Saccharomyces cerevisiae S288C: one gene and its partners. Changing the gene in region 1 together with any one later gene gives a genetic interaction. Each region holds a gene or a part of one and is shown in the gene's direction. Other genes may lie near its edges. The genes, in order: PEX29, UPF3, NMD2 and MDY2.

Region 1 (4,258 bases):
AAATTTCATCAAACATGAGATCCTGGAAAAAGATTTGGGTATTTACGATTACACGGATAGCGATTTAGAAACATTAATTCATTTGGATGACAACGCAAATGCTATCCAAGACAAACTGAATGACATGGTATCATTTAGGGCCCAAATTGGCTGGACCACGCATGGTCACAGCGCAGTCGACGTCAACATATATGCATACGCCAATAAGAAAGCTACATGGTCATATGTCTTGAACAATTTACAAGGCAATCACGAAAATACGGAAGTTGGCCAGTTCTTAGAAAACTTTTTAGAATTGAACCTGAACGAAGTCACTGATTTGATTAGGGACACCAAACACACATCAGATTTTGATGCTACAGAAATAGCTAGTGAAGTACAACATTATGACGAATACTACCATGAGTTGACCAACTGATCCTATCTAACTCTCCCTCTTTTTTCACATATTATTTAATACGTTATAATTTATTTGAATATATATATATATATATATATGTATATATACTAACCGCATGACACGTACTGTATCGCATTTCGTTTCGGAGTGCAGGCGAGTTTTAGGTGCATTCTATAGCGTGAAGAAGTGAAATCTCGTCATTTCTTCAAGTTATGCCATTCAGTCCAGATTGTTTCACATGCTTTCATATAGTCATTTTTGTCGTCGCGAACTTCAAATTTGAAAACATCATCATACAGAGAGATTTCTCCAATAATGATCCTTTCTTTGTCGTTGTCATCATCGGCATCGTCGTTAAGTGAAGCGCCCTCACTTAATGAATTTTTCGTGACAGAGCATTCAATGTCTTCATCAGTCTTACTTATGATTGGGTCTCCGTTGTGGTGTTTGGAGACAAAGGTTCTTTTTCTCGATGTCAAATCTTCCAAGTGTGGTGATCTACCAGCCAACTTCTTCCTCTTTGCATGGTAGTCGGCTGGTATTATACCATTATTATACAAGGGGCCGGGATACATCGGGGAATAATAGCCTTCGTATGCGTGCGTTTGTGTTGGAGTTGAAGAATATGGGTAGCATGGTACTGGTGGCAGTCCAGTATATGGATAAGGGTAGGTTGCTGTCATATATGAATTGGCCACTGAAGGATGATAATCTTGATTCGTAGGAGCCATCCTACCCATATATCTGACCCTAAGGCTATTTTTGTGCTGCGGAAATCTTGTTATGTTTGGTGGAGCACTTTTAGATCCATGCAAATGAGAAGATGCTTGTATATCGGAAAAATTTAGCGCTGGAGGTACCCTTTTCCTCTTTAAAGAATGATTCAGCGACTTAAAGGGTACGGTTTTCTCTGCTGGAGAAGTCGTAATGGTAGGAGGCTTACCACTATGATCTTCCTCTTTTTGCGACAGCCTAGATATGAGCAATTTTTGATTTTTTTCGATATCCCTGGATTTTTTGATCTTCGAAATCATTTTCTCACTCAATCTGTCTTCATCAAGCCCTGGAGATACTAACAGCATTCCCAGTTGCTGCAAATTCCTGGGATCATTTTCCTGAACAGTTGATATTTGCTCTTGCTGTGGGTCTTCTTGCTCTTCTTTATTCATAATTTTCCCTCTTTGCTTAAATATTCCTGCAGGCTTAACTATACCACATAAATACCACTGCAAGCAATAGAAATGAAAAATAACATTAATAACCAAAATTTAAATGGCTGTATGTTTATTGTTTATTTGATCTGCACATTATGTAATTATTGATAATTTAATAGACGTGTCCGCCGGGTGATGAAGCTGTGACATATCACAATTTTATGTGTACCTGTTGTATGTATACGCTCTAATGTCCGATATCATCATACGTGCATCACTTTGTAGCCTTCTAGGATGGCGTCTAGGTGAATACCGCCGTAGTGTTTAGGAAACTAATGTTATGGGTGGTTGTTGTTTCACTATCCAGTAATACTTTTGTGGTGAACTTAAGAAGCTTAGGGGTTACCCCTTCTTCTTGAACTAATTTTAAGAAATAACAACGAGGAATAGTGTGTATTTTTAATTACTGATCAGGCCGCATGAATATACTCACCTGTATACGTAGCAAAATTTCAGTCTCCTACTGTATATACGTCTAGATGGACTCGGTGACAAATTTTTTCTGGAATGACACCTATAATGCTGGTACTCCAACTAGATCAACTCTCAAGGGGAAGAAAGTGCAAAATGGCATAGATGGAAAAAGTCAGGCAAAGAAAGAGAGCATATCTAGTGGTTCTAGAACTAGTGATCCTACACGTGGTAGTCTGCCATCTTCCAGTGGACAGCCAACTAGTGGTGGCGGTTTTCCCTCGACATCAAACATCCAAAAGATGATGGCAGATACCCTGGTAGAGAAGATAATCAAAATGGCATTACCACCATCTTCCAAAACGGCTGTTGATACAATTCACCATCGTATGGTTGCTGGTAAAGAAAGGCCTAAGCTGTCTGTGCAGATCACGAGTAGGAATTTTATACAGATGAACTCGAGACTAGGGGTACCATTCATGATTATGGATGAATTAATAAAGATATTAAACTGGACTAACCCAGCGTATACAGTATCTATCATGTTCTTATACACGCTCATTATATTGAAACCTTTTCAAATGCTTTCTTCGCTCCCTATATTCTATTTGTTATTCTGCGTAATGGTCCCGCAATACCTTTACATTCATAAGCCAAACCCTACAAGCTATCTAGATAATAATCAAACACCAGCACAAGGCCCACCTTTGCGAAGACCTGAGGTTCCTAAACCAGTCCCTGAACTGAGCCAAGAATTTGTCTTAAACCTCACGGATTTACAAAACCATATGCTGCTATATGTTAAATTCTACGATTTTACTTTACTCATATTACAAAAGTTTGCATTCTTCACCAACGAGGCTATTTCGTCGTTTTATTTTATTGTATTGTTAATAATAGCAACATTAAATTTTCTGTACATGGATAAATTTATCAAGCTCATTCCAATGAGACCCGTACTGATACTGCTAGGTTGGGGTTTTTTTATTGCCTCGCATCCGTCCAATCGTGAATATTTGTTGACTAAATTGAATTCGGAGGAGACAAGATTAAAAACTTTGACTATAAGTACTAATCTGGAATCTAAGATTTTGCAGCATTTGAAACTCATTGAGGCTAGGGAGCACCGACTTGTTATGATCTTTGAGATCCAAAAGTATCTTCCTGAATACAAAGAATGGCGCCCAGTTGGATTCTCTGATGACGATTATTCTCTTTTCTCTAGTTTGAGAATATACCAGAGGCGTATTGAGGAAAATTCAGTGAAGTCATTAGAAGAAATTGAGCCACCTAAGGATTGGGAATGGGAAGCCAATTCTCATTGGGTGCTTGATTTGGATCCAAAAGAATGGGTAGAGGACGAATTTATTCAGTATGTCGAGATAGATTCAGAAACAAAATGGGTCTATGACCTCAATCTTGATGGACAAAGGGGCTCATATAGAAGGCGAATGTGGACCAACAGTTGCGTGCGGAAAAAACTGGATTCTGGTATTTCTTCAAACCTTGGTGAGGAGGAAGTAGTTAATCCATTGAGGGAAGAAACATATAGGCAAGGCGTACATGGCGTGACGAAGGGTTCAATGAGTGGCGGTCTAACTCACAGTAGTGATGATGACCGCGCTGATGAGGAAAGTATAAACGGTACTATTCCTAATCTCAACAATATCGACGCGGATGCATCTTATCCGTCAATCGAAGAGCTAACAGACACTCTCAATTCAACTATATAAACTTGATTTGTTATACTATATGTTCACTGATGATACAGTCAACTTTTCATAAAACTTTCTAATGACAGTGACGAACTTTTCTTCTTTTCCATTTTTTTCTCTTGATTTCTTTTCGATAAAAGGTTTGTAAGTGAGTTCAACTTTCTCTTCTTGGATCTCTCCTTACCAGTACTAGTTTTACTCTTTTGGGGCTTCTTTACCGCGTACGAAACCTTCCCGCTGCTGGTACTATTGATCATCGGACTAACATCTTGTCCAAATGTTGGAACAACGAACTCAGATTTCCACTCAAACAATTTAGACTTTTCACAATTCAAGCAATTAACCTGGATACATTTTTTTGGTCCTTCCATACTCTCGCCGCCAAGTTCGTCGGAGTCACCTTGCTCGGTATTAGTCGTTAACTGAAGACTTGCGTTAAAATTAGGAACGTAAACACACCCGCAATGGGAGCAAAATTTCCCACTTTTCAGTTGTTCTGGCAGCATGATTTGATATCG
Region 2 (3,741 bases), on another chromosome or scaffold:
AGGATTTTTTCAAAGGGCTTTTTAGATTTGGTGAATTTGAAGCTTCGTATAATCTCTGTCAAATATAACTCAAACTTAATGATAAAAACCAAGGTATGGGTAAATTTCAATGGAGCGGAAGAAGCAAAGTACTCAATTGATTGCTCGAAAGTTCTTAACGTCTCTTCTACCGTGTTTATTAGACGAAAATCGGATTCACTAAGTGATTCATTTTCTAAATGAGAGTTGATAGACTTGAAGAAAGGAACTAAGTTTGCAAATTTTTCTAAGATACTCTTCAAAGCTGAAAATCTATCGCAGTTACAGGAAAGGATTGAAGTAAGTTCATTGCAGTTAGGTTGTGTATAATTTTGGCAGTATAATAGGAAATCCGATTTTAGGGAGTCGTTTAAGTTAACTTCTTCTATCAAACAGCATATTTTGCCGAGAATAGTAGATGATAAATCAATATGGGAAAAATCTATTAATGAGTCTAACAAAGAGCCTCCTGAATGATTTTCTTTGGCCACAGAAAAGGAAGACAGCATTGATTCAGTAGGAACATTAAACAACGGCTGTAAAAAACAATGAAGTAATTCAGATACTATGCAAGTATGGTACTTTATCTCCCTCACACTCCCGCTATGGAAAGTAAAATTATGACTGTTTCTATTCTCTAGTACCATTGTATAATGGCTTTGAGGCAAAGTTATAGAAATCACCGATTTTTGTAAGCCAGGGTATTTCGAATACAAATTGTTGAGCTGTTCCTGCCAGACACTAATATCTATATCCGTTGTTTTACGTACAAAAATAGATAATGGTAAACCCTTCGAAACTTTGTTGGTATTATCGAACAGTTGCAAAGAAAATAATGATCTTTTTCCAGCCAGTTCTGTAAAATTTACAGAAATAAGATGGGATAAGTCCAAGTTAGACAATTGTGCCCGAATTTCCCTAGAATATTTCAAGTAAAGAGGTTGATTTGATTCCTTACTATCGGATAAATGGATAGTAAAGGGTAATTGTGTATCATTCCTTGATATAGACCTTCTGATCAACTCATCAATTGATTTTGACAACCCTATAATTGACTCCTCTATTATATTGGTAGTTAAAGGAGGGATCCTATGAAATTTTGATAAAAGAGATTTAAAGGACACATTCTCAAAGAAGTTCAGCGGTAAATTTTCTGAGGCTATGACTATGGCTACTAATTGGGAAATAGAAAGGTAATTACTGCTCTGTAATTTTCCTATGTCAAAGCATTTGAAACTTTGGTCGGAATTGAAGGTTAACGAATCATAGCCGTGTCTACGTGTAATTTCTGTGCTGGAAGTATTGTTTTTGAGATTGGAGTCTCCTACTGTGAAATTCATGGAATAGAAGTTTTTATTGGCACTTATATTATGCTTTGTTTTCAAGTGAGATCTAAAGGTTTTTGTCAAACTTGCATCGCTTCTTGTTAGTATCTCTCCACAATGTTTACATTTAACTTTCGTTAATTTCTTTTCAATTGCTAGAAAATGGGACCAGAACTTTGCTATATTCTTCTTGAGCATTTGAACCGGAATCCATATATTTAACCCATCATTTATGATTTCGTCTTCCGGATGAATTCTACTTGATAGGATTTTATTGCCGTCTTTTTCTATAAGTTCTATATCCTCAGTATCGTCTTCTTCCTCGTCTTCCTCCTCATGACTAGTAGAGTGAGAAGATGAATGATCAGAATTATTGATGATTTCGTTATCTTCTAAAGTCACCAAATCCCCATGTAAATCATCCAATGCAGTGTTCATATTAATGATTGAGTAGATTGGTACATATGCTATTTCGGAAGACTTTTGTTATTCTATGGTTTATCATCCCTTTATTTATTTTGTGTATTGTTTGCTGATCAAAAGTTGAAAATTTTTCGCCTAAAAAGTAAGATACAAAAGAAAATATTGTCGATGATTATTGCATGAATATATCAGCAAAGAGGAAAGGAAAACCTACTGAGGGACTTACATTTCTGCTGAAATATATAGTAATCTATCATGAGCAATGTGGCTGGGGAATTGAAGAATAGTGAGGGGAAAAAGAAAGGCAGGGGAAATAGGTATCATAACAAGAACAGAGGAAAAAGTAAGAATGAGACGGTAGATCCTAAAAAGAATGAGAATAAGGTTAATAATGCTACTAATGCTACCCACAACAATAGCAAAGGCAGAAGGAATAACAAGAAAAGGAACAGAGAGTATTATAACTATAAAAGAAAGGCTAGATTGGGTAAATCAACCGAGAATGAAGGATTTAAGCTTGTTATTAGATTGCTACCTCCAAATTTGACTGCAGATGAATTTTTTGCCATCTTACGAGATAATAATAACGATGATGGTGATAAGCAAGATATCCAGGGTAAACTCAAGTACAGTGACTGGTGTTTTTTTGAAGGTCATTATTCTAGTAAAGTATTCAAAAACTCGACATATTCTCGGTGCAATTTCTTGTTCGACAACTTATCAGACTTGGAAAAATGCGCAAATTTCATTAAAACTTGTAAATTCATTGATAATAAGGATAATATTACAATTCCAGATATGAAACTGTCGCCCTACGTAAAGAAATTCACTCAAACATCAAAAAAGGATGCCGCGCTAGTAGGAACAATTGAAGAAGACGAAATTTTTAAAACATTTATGAATTCAATGAAACAGCTGAATGAAAATGACGAGTACTCATTCCAAGATTTTAGCGTATTGAAATCTTTAGAAAAAGAATTCTCAAAAAGCATAGAGTTAGAAAATAAAATAGCAGAAAGAACAGAAAGGGTGTTAACAGAGCTGGTTGGAACTGGTGATAAGGTCAAGAATAAGAACAAAAAGAAGAAAAATAAAAACGCCAAAAAGAAATTCAAAGAAGAGGAAGCATCCGCTAAGATACCAAAGAAAAAACGGAACAGAGGCAAGAAGAAGCGTGAAAATCGTGAAAAAAGCACCATTTCTAAGACCAAGAACAGTAATGTGGTTATTATTGAGGAAGCGGGTAAAGAGGTTTTGAAACAAAGGAAGAAGAAAATGCTTTTGCAAGAGAAGTTAAAAATATCAAACTCCTCTCAGCCTCAGTCATCATCCGCTCAAACCCAGCCGTCGTTCCAACCTAAAGAAAACCTTTTCGTACCACGGGTAAAAATTTTGCATCGTGATGATACCAAGAAGTAGTAAAAGCTCATGGCTTCTTATATATTATATATGGAATACATTTATAATAAAATAATAAGAATTATATATTTTATGATTATATTATTACATAAAGTATTCCCCATTATAAATTCTGAGTTTCGTATTTAATGATTTTTCAATGAATATTTAAAATAATAAAATATATGAAATGTTCATATACAATGAAATTGTCATGAAGAAAGATGACTCCAAGTATCGTTTATAAATCGTCGAGAAAAAGATTATGAAGTTGGTTAACTTTTTAAAAAAGCTGCGCAATGAGCAGGTTACCATAGAACTAAAAAACGGTACCACCGTTTGGGGTACACTGCAGTCGGTATCACCACAAATGAATGCTATCTTAACTGACGTGAAGTTGACCCTACCACAACCCCGACTAAATAAATTGAACAGTAATGGTATTGCGATGGCTAGTCTGTACTTGACTGGAGGACAGCAACCTACTGCAAGTGACAACATAGCAAGTTTGCAATACATAAACATTAGAGGCAATACCATAAGACAGATAATCTTACCTGATTCCTTGAACCTGGAT
Region 3 (5,842 bases), on another chromosome or scaffold:
GCAGAAAGACAGCAAAGAAAGAGAGAAATTGACAAAAATAACGATATCTGTTTTGTTAACGAATCGAGATCGTGCTGGTAATTGAACCTGAAAAACGAAAAATCCAAAATATTTGCTATCGTAATGGCTAAAGGATCGGATGCTGCATTTTCACTAAAATTTTCATAATCGTAGTCATCTGGATATTTGAGCGAGTGGTATATGATATAGGGGATTCTTTTCAGGAAAGTTATTATTAGTTTATGAAGACAGTATATGATAAACCCGACTTCAAAAGCTTTCTTAAAAGTGCGTACCTGAGGGGACTGTTGTAATAATGCTTCCAATTTCCCAAGCTCCAGTTGATACCAGGCGATTTTTTCCATCAACTCTGCTTTAAAAGTTGAGTTTTCTCCGACCTCTTCTTCTAAACTTCTTAATATTTGTACATTTTGTTCAATGTTGTGTTCATAATCTTGGATTTTTTCCTCTATATAGGCGTCTGTTGTCCATAAGAGAGATTTACTGTTATTGTTGCTGTTGTTGATGTTTCTAAAACTGGGGTCTGACATTGGTGTATTACGAAACTTGTGCCAGATGACTAAAAAGTTGTAGTATAAACTAGAAACAGTGGCTAACCCAGATAGGGAAGCCATGACTGTGACGCCTCCGATGGACAATCTAGTTAGAATATTTTTTGTGTACTGGAACGGTCCAATATTTATGTAACTTAACAGCGCAATAAGTGTGGACAAGATTATGCATGTCACTATTATCAACCTATCGATATCGAACTTGTCATTGTAGAATTTATTCAGTAACGATATTATAATGAAAAAGGGCTGAAATAAAATTAGTATGAAGGATAGCATGATTGCAGTCAGAGGCCACACCCAAGTCGTTATGAAAGTAACTTCCTTGTCCATTCCAGCAACCTTAATCTGCCATAGAATAATCTCTATGGTTACTGTATACGTCATCATTGCTAATGAAAAAAGGACTCGCAGTGATTGCAGTACCTTATGTGAGGGTAAAGAATACTCTGTGTAGAATTTATTTATGAAATTACCCATACTAGACACATCCTCATTCGAGCCAACTTCCATTTTGCTTGCCAACGGAATGACATTTTTCTTCGAGGAAGTTGATATAATGTCAAACAAAGACCCTACTTTAAACCAGAGCCTTTCATAGGAGCATTTGTAAGCAAATGCTCCGGATACGGAAAGCACTATAAATACGATAAGTGCCTCCATCCCGTCCACCACTTAGTCTACACTCAATAGTCCTTTCTAGTGCAGGTCCTGGAGGCAACCGCCAGAGTTGAGATCTTTTCCTTTTCTTTCCCTGCTGGTCAATTTTTATTGTTCAGGACTCGGTCATCGCAGATATCGCAATTTTTCACTCGTTTGAGTCTAGACTGTAAAATAAAACCGAATGGTTAAGCTAAAATAGACTCTGTATGACTAAGTCGTTCACTAAAGTTCATTATTTCATGCCTGAATGACCTTTATCTTAATTATGCACCATCATATAGCGTTTCTATGATCACTACGGGATATTATGATATTGTTAGGGGGTTATATTGAATATTTCTTAGGGCATGAGGATGATATTAGGGTTATTAATAGGTTTACAATTATATAATTTATGTGATAATTATCACTTGATACGAATTGATGGAGCCTGCTTCTTTTTTTTTTTTTCACTTTCTTGGCAGTCACTGAAAAACTGCATTCGAATACAGGTTTGAGAAACTAATGAGGCCCATATTACTTTACAATGAACAGTAACAATCAACTTAAATGCTTAAATAATCTAATATTGTATCTGCATTGATAATACATTGGACAGAAATTATGGACGTATGTTTGATTTATCTTACTGTGGCCAGATCGGCCTTTCAGTACTTCTAAGGTTTTATACTAACTTCTTTTATTGATCGTTGTAAACTACGGTAACAATTATGTATCAACAGGATGGACGGAAAAAAGAATTGCATGATTTGAACACCCGAGCTTGGAATGGCGAAGAAGTCTTTCCCCTGAAAAGTAAAAAACTGGATTCCAGTATAAAGAGAAACACTGGCTTTATAAAAAAACTAAAGAAGGGTTTTGTGAAAGGTTCAGAATCTTCATTATTGAAAGATTTAAGTGAGGCGTCCTTGGAAAAGTACCTATCAGAGATAATAGTGACGGTAACAGAATGTCTGCTAAATGTTTTGAATAAAAATGATGACGTAATTGCCGCTGTTGAGATCATAAGTGGACTTCATCAAAGGTTCAATGGCCGATTTACTAGTCCGCTTTTAGGAGCTTTTTTACAAGCTTTTGAGAACCCCTCTGTTGACATTGAATCCGAAAGAGATGAGCTTCAAAGGATAACCAGAGTTAAAGGTAATCTTCGGGTATTTACCGAGCTTTATTTAGTTGGAGTTTTTAGAACATTGGATGATATTGAGTCGAAAGATGCTATTCCAAACTTCCTACAGAAGAAAACTGGGCGAAAGGATCCGTTGTTATTCAGTATTCTCAGAGAGATTCTTAATTATAAGTTCAAATTGGGCTTTACTACCACTATTGCGACCGCATTTATTAAGAAATTTGCACCTTTGTTTCGCGACGATGATAATTCTTGGGATGATTTAATATATGACTCGAAGTTAAAAGGTGCGTTACAGTCTCTGTTTAAGAATTTTATAGACGCCACTTTTGCGAGGGCCACAGAACTGCATAAGAAGGTCAATAAACTGCAAAGAGAACATCAGAAATGCCAAATAAGAACGGGAAAATTGAGAGATGAGTACGTAGAGGAGTACGACAAGTTACTTCCAATATTCATTAGGTTCAAGACATCTGCAATTACTTTGGGAGAATTTTTTAAGTTAGAAATTCCGGAGCTTGAAGGTGCCTCTAATGATGATCTGAAAGAAACAGCTTCTCCAATGATCACGAATCAGATATTGCCACCCAACCAACGATTATGGGAAAATGAAGATACAAGGAAATTTTATGAAATCTTACCAGATATCTCAAAAACAGTAGAAGAATCACAATCTTCTAAAACAGAAAAAGATTCAAACGTTAACTCAAAAAATATCAATCTATTCTTTACGGATTTGGAAATGGCAGATTGTAAAGATATAATCGATGACCTTTCAAATAGATATTGGTCATCATATTTGGACAACAAAGCCACAAGAAATCGAATATTGAAATTTTTCATGGAAACACAAGATTGGAGCAAACTGCCAGTGTATTCCAGATTTATTGCAACAAATAGCAAATATATGCCGGAAATTGTTTCTGAGTTTATTAACTACCTAGACAATGGCTTCAGGAGTCAATTACATTCTAATAAGATTAACGTTAAAAACATCATCTTCTTCAGTGAAATGATTAAATTTCAATTAATACCATCGTTTATGATTTTTCATAAGATTAGAACATTAATCATGTATATGCAAGTTCCAAATAACGTAGAAATTTTGACGGTTTTGTTGGAGCACTCAGGGAAATTTCTGCTAAATAAGCCAGAATATAAGGAATTAATGGAAAAAATGGTCCAACTAATCAAGGATAAAAAAAATGATAGGCAATTGAACATGAACATGAAAAGCGCCTTAGAAAACATAATTACTTTACTTTATCCCCCTTCTGTAAAATCATTAAATGTTACGGTAAAAACAATAACGCCTGAACAACAGTTTTATCGCATATTAATTAGAAGTGAACTAAGTAGCCTAGACTTCAAACACATTGTCAAGTTGGTTCGGAAAGCTCACTGGGACGATGTAGCTATTCAGAAAGTGCTGTTTTCTCTGTTTTCAAAACCACATAAGATTAGCTATCAAAATATTCCCTTATTAACAAAAGTTCTAGGCGGTCTATACAGTTACCGCCGCGATTTCGTCATCAGATGTATAGACCAAGTACTGGAAAACATTGAGCGAGGCTTAGAAATTAACGATTATGGACAAAACATGCATAGAATATCAAATGTCAGATACTTAACTGAAATATTCAACTTTGAAATGATAAAATCCGATGTTTTGTTAGATACTATCTACCACATTATTCGGTTTGGTCATATCAACAATCAACCCAATCCATTTTATTTAAACTACTCAGATCCACCGGATAATTATTTCAGGATTCAACTAGTCACTACAATTCTGTTAAATATCAACAGGACCCCTGCAGCTTTTACTAAGAAATGCAAACTTTTGCTGAGGTTTTTCGAGTATTATACTTTTATTAAAGAACAACCTTTACCCAAGGAAACAGAATTCAGAGTTTCAAGCACATTTAAAAAATATGAGAATATTTTCGGAAACACTAAATTTGAAAGGTCAGAAAATTTGGTAGAAAGTGCCTCAAGGTTGGAAAGTTTACTGAAATCATTAAACGCAATAAAAAGTAAAGACGACAGAGTGAAGGGATCTTCTGCAAGCATTCACAACGGTAAGGAGAGTGCTGTTCCTATCGAGTCAATCACCGAAGATGATGAGGATGAAGATGATGAAAACGACGATGGTGTCGATTTACTAGGAGAAGATGAAGACGCGGAGATAAGTACACCGAACACAGAGTCAGCGCCAGGAAAACATCAGGCAAAGCAAGACGAAAGTGAAGATGAAGACGATGAGGACGATGACGAGGATGATGACGATGACGATGACGATGATGATGATGATGGAGAAGAAGGCGATGAGGATGATGATGAAGATGATGATGATGAGGATGATGATGATGAAGAAGAAGAAGACAGCGACTCTGATTTGGAGTATGGTGGTGATCTTGACGCAGACAGAGATATTGAAATGAAACGAATGTATGAAGAGTACGAGAGAAAACTAAAGGATGAGGAAGAAAGGAAAGCGGAAGAAGAATTGGAAAGGCAATTTCAGAAAATGATGCAAGAATCCATAGACGCAAGGAAAAGCGAAAAGGTTGTTGCCAGTAAAATTCCAGTAATTTCGAAGCCAGTCAGCGTTCAAAAACCTTTATTATTAAAAAAGAGTGAAGAACCTTCTTCAAGCAAGGAGACCTACGAAGAGTTATCCAAGCCAAAGAAGATTGCATTTACGTTCTTGACTAAAAGCGGTAAGAAGACACAATCAAGAATTTTACAATTACCAACGGATGTGAAATTTGTCTCTGATGTCCTTGAAGAAGAAGAGAAACTAAAAACCGAGCGAAACAAGATTAAAAAGATTGTTTTAAAACGTTCTTTCGACTGAGATTCTTTTGCGAATATAGTTCTTTAAATTTTTACTATATATGCCCACTTATGTTTGGCTCTATTAAATGGCTACGTGTTTATATAGTACCGTTTATGACGCTGTATTTTTATTTACACTGCTTTCCAGGAGATTAAAGAGCGGAGTGTTAGTCAACTCTCACGACAACAACAGTTATATCGTCTTCTTTACCACCGCTGTAGTTTTTGCCAGTTAGCTTAGAAATCTCTTGCGCAAAAACACTGGGGTAATTGGGGTCCTTGCTTAAACTGACAACATTGTCCACAAACTTCTGGGATAATAGCTGTAACTCATCGTTTGTTCTCGCAGCGTTATCCTTCAGAAAAAGCTCAATATCATCTGTGGCAATATTATCGGTTACACCATCGGTAGCCAATATAATAATATCCTTTTTTTTCAATTGGAAGCTATATTCATCAGCGTCTCTGGGGGTGTTTAAAATATACTTGCTACCCCTTCTTTCGGCCTCTTTCAACATTTCTTCTGGAATGATTGACAATTGGTAAGGAGCATTAAATCCAACAGTTTGAAACTTTGTCTGGAATACAAGTTTAGAATCTCTGAAGACTCCACACCAAGAATCACCCAAGTTGGCAACTT
Region 4 (3,144 bases), on another chromosome or scaffold:
TATTTTTAAAAAAAGAAAAAGAAACTTCTAGTAAAGTGCAGCACATTCAAGTGTGATTAGTTGAAAATGGAAGCAATTTTACGGTTCAATTTCTTCAAGAAACCGCCTTCCTTCTTGGTTTCCTTCTTCTCACTGACGGCGGCGGAAGCTTGCTTCTTAGTTTCTTCAACTTTGTTGGCAGCTTCGGTCTTCTTTTGTTCGACACCATCAGCAATGTTTTGTTCTTCCTTCTTCACCTGTTCAGCTTCTGGAGTAGCTTCATTTTTTAGGTTGTCGATAGAAGCTTCAGCTTGTTCCTTTACTTCTTGGCCCTTGTTTTGCAAAGATTCTTTGGTTTCTTCCAACTTTTGTTGGACATCTTGGGCGGCAGTTTCAGCTTTGTTTTGAATTTCAGACATTATTAATTGATATAAACGTAGTTTTGTATGTTTCTTTGATTTGAACTTTTAAGTATACAGAGAAAAAAACCGATCAAAGAAAACTAAAGTATAATGAGGTTAAAAACGAAAGTAATAAAGTAGAAAGGCTATCAAGCAAACTGAGATGATCTTCGACGTAAAAACTCGCTCTATATATATACGCCATATAAGCCCATCGGCGATGGGGGACAACACGAAGAAACAAGAGAAGAGGAGAACCGCACAGAAAGCAGCAGAAACAGAGCAAACCAGCATTAACTAAAGATGATAAAAATAAAATTAGGTAAGAAACCTTAATTGGATATACAAAAATACACTGGAGGCACAAATCGCCATCGATATAAAACACGATAAAGCCCTGGTGCACCCATAAACCACACGTTTAACTATTTGGGTCGGGGCACGACGAAATCTAGGGATAGGCACCCGGACCGTCGGGGCAATACTAGGCGCACACCGCGCTCGTGAAGCAGACCTCCCGGCGAGTTTAGCTGCGCCACGTACTGCTCTAACGCGAGAGACTCCTGAAACACAGGTCTAGAAAGAAGGGGCCCCAAAACCCAGCTCCACAGACCGCCCGTAAGCATATCGAGCAACAGGCCACTTAAGTTACGCCACCCGAACACCTCACCTTCTTCACGCAGCAAGAATCCGTTTACCCGGTGCACAACCTCCGCGAGCTCTGCCGCACTAAGATATTCTGACAGAGGCGAGACGGAGGAGCAGCCAAACACGTGATCCCCAATGTCGTAACGCCCGCACCGCACAAAGCTAGTGCCATCGTCGCCCACGATTGCCGCCGGCTCGCTACCGGGAAGCTGTGTACTAAATTGTGGCGTTTCAAGGCTGCTGCGAGACTCATCGAACCGCCGGGGCACTCGTACCACCCGGGTCACCTGGAACTCGGCAGAGCCCCGAGCAGCATACACATTCGGGAAATGTGTAATACACAATTTGTGGTCTTCGTCGTGCTCTGTGGGTTTAGCGTCTTCGGAACCGAGGTCTTCGTAGAATGAATACGAAAACTCATGGTAATTAAAAAATAACGCCCTTTCGCTCGTATTTGCGTTATCTTCTTCCTTTTGATGGCTATCGCACATCTAGTAAGGGTTAGATTGAGTATTGTCCTCTAATGTAACTTTTTCCTCTTATTCCTCTCCTCCCCTTAGCTATTATATATCTTTTTTACCGAATCTTGAATTAGGAATAGTTTTAAAATCAGGCCGGAGGCCGAGCTTGCGACAACTACGACCAAAAAAAACAAAGGAAAAACGAAAAGAAGAAAACATGCACAGGAGAACATAGTTGGAGAAAAGGGTTAGAACAGACCGATACAGAGATAAACTAGCGAAGAATAATAACTTTATACAAAATTAATCATGAGCACATCCGCCAGCGGTCCAGAACACGAGTTCGTTAGTAAATTCTTGACCTTAGCCACTTTAACTGAACCGAAGCTACCAAAAAGCTATACTAAACCTCTGAAGGATGTTACCAATTTGGGTGTCCCGTTGCCTACTTTGAAGTATAAATATAAGCAGAATCGTGCCAAGAAGTTAAAACTGCACCAAGATCAGCAAGGTCAAGACAACGCCGCCGTCCACTTAACCTTAAAGAAAATTCAAGCTCCCAAGTTCTCCATCGAGCATGATTTCAGCCCATCAGATACTATCTTACAAATAAAACAGCACTTGATCAGCGAGGAAAAGGCCTCCCACATAAGCGAGATAAAACTGCTTTTGAAGGGCAAAGTCCTCCACGATAACCTGTTCTTATCGGATTTGAAGGTCACGCCTGCCAATTCCACAATCACAGTCATGATTAAGCCGAATCCGACTATATCTAAGGAACCCGAAGCCGAGAAATCCACTAACTCCCCTGCTCCTGCTCCTCCACAGGAACTCACTGTGCCCTGGGATGATATCGAGGCTCTTCTGAAGAACAATTTCGAGAACGATCAGGCTGCGGTTAGGCAAGTCATGGAGCGTCTACAAAAAGGCTGGTCTCTGGCCAAATAAGATTAGTATAGTTAGTACGTACATACTTGTTATTTTACACAGTTGCGCTTTTTATCACGGTTGCGCTTACTATTTTCTTCTTTCCTTTGGGCGGCTACTCGCCCTTTGTCTATTTCTCGCCATCGCCACATACTCTCTACCGCGATCAATCTTTTCCTGGGTAATACCATTCAACGCAACCTTCTTCTTCATCAGGACTTTCTCAAAGATATCATTCGGATTGAGCAATCTTTTTGGGAAATTTTGAATCACTTGCAAAATCTCCATATCTGCCTCTTCCTGCGTCTTAATCTTGTTCTTTAATCTTTTGAAAGTTGAATCAGAGTCATTACTACCACCGAAGGTGTACGAAGAGTACTGTCTAAACAGTTTCTGGCTTTTACTCTCCAAAAACTCGCTTTCGCTCAATTTCAGTATCCCCAAAGCCACTTTAAATAAAAAATGAGACTCTTCATAGAATAAACAGTCCCATATTCTCAGGGTCGTTTCGATGGGCACCACGCCCACAAAACAGCTCATAAACCAACTTGCCGTACACAGCGTCAGCGTAGGCAGCCTGCAGAGATATTCTTCCCCCGATGCTGGCCCTGATATCTGGTCAGTGCTGCCATTGCCATTCATATACGATGACTCAATGTGTGACCATATCTCGGGTAAATATTCCTTGATACATAACACCAACACCCCTTGATCCACGTTCGCACCCT

Evidence for each region.
Region 2: mutations in PEX29 (region 1) and UPF3 together harm fitness more than expected from each alone (negative genetic interaction), as found in Saccharomyces cerevisiae (2 studies listed by BioGRID).
Region 3: mutations in PEX29 (region 1) and NMD2 together harm fitness more than expected from each alone (negative genetic interaction), as found in Saccharomyces cerevisiae (3 studies listed by BioGRID).
Region 4: mutations in PEX29 (region 1) and MDY2 together harm fitness more than expected from each alone (negative genetic interaction), as found in Saccharomyces cerevisiae (3 studies listed by BioGRID).

What each region holds. Positions count from the first base shown.
Region 1 is NC_001136.10:1,414,710-1,418,967, reverse strand, and holds PEX29 (Pex29p), read left to right. Parts: upstream 1-2,093; coding exon 2,094-3,758; downstream 3,759-4,258. Other genes in the region: alkaline phosphatase PHO8, read left to right, coding at 1-418; DIG2 (Dig2p), read right to left, coding at 598-1,569; SNM1 (Snm1p), read right to left, coding at 3,797-4,258. UniProt on the Saccharomyces cerevisiae protein: Involved in the regulation of peroxisome number, size and distribution.
Region 2 is NC_001139.9:632,283-636,023, forward strand, and holds UPF3 (Upf3p), read left to right. Parts: upstream 1-2,021; coding exon 2,022-3,185; downstream 3,186-3,741. Other genes in the region: ENV11 (Env11p), read right to left, coding at 1-1,781; mRNA splicing protein SMD1, read left to right, coding at 3,430-3,741. UniProt on the Saccharomyces cerevisiae protein: Involved in nonsense-mediated decay of mRNAs containing premature stop codons.
Region 3 is NC_001140.6:251,753-257,594, reverse strand, and holds NMD2 (Nmd2p), read left to right. Parts: upstream 1-1,838; coding exon 1,839-1,844; intron 1,845-1,957; coding exon 1,958-5,221; downstream 5,222-5,842. Other genes in the region: YHR078W (uncharacterized protein), read right to left, coding at 1-1,235; type 2C protein phosphatase PTC7, read right to left, coding at 5,370-5,842. UniProt on the Saccharomyces cerevisiae protein: Involved in nonsense-mediated decay of mRNAs containing premature stop codons. It interacts, via its C-terminus, with NAM7/UPF1.
Region 4 is NC_001147.6:107,551-110,694, reverse strand, and holds MDY2 (Mdy2p), read left to right. Parts: upstream 1-1,798; coding exon 1,799-2,437; downstream 2,438-3,144. Other genes in the region: ZEO1 (Zeo1p), read right to left, coding at 57-398; SHR5 (Shr5p), read right to left, coding at 806-1,519; Rab GTPase-activating protein MSB4, read right to left, coding at 2,507-3,144. UniProt on the Saccharomyces cerevisiae protein: Required for efficient mating. Involved in the production of alpha-factor, the KAR9 and TUB1 location to the shmoo tip and nuclear migration into pheromone-induced shmoos.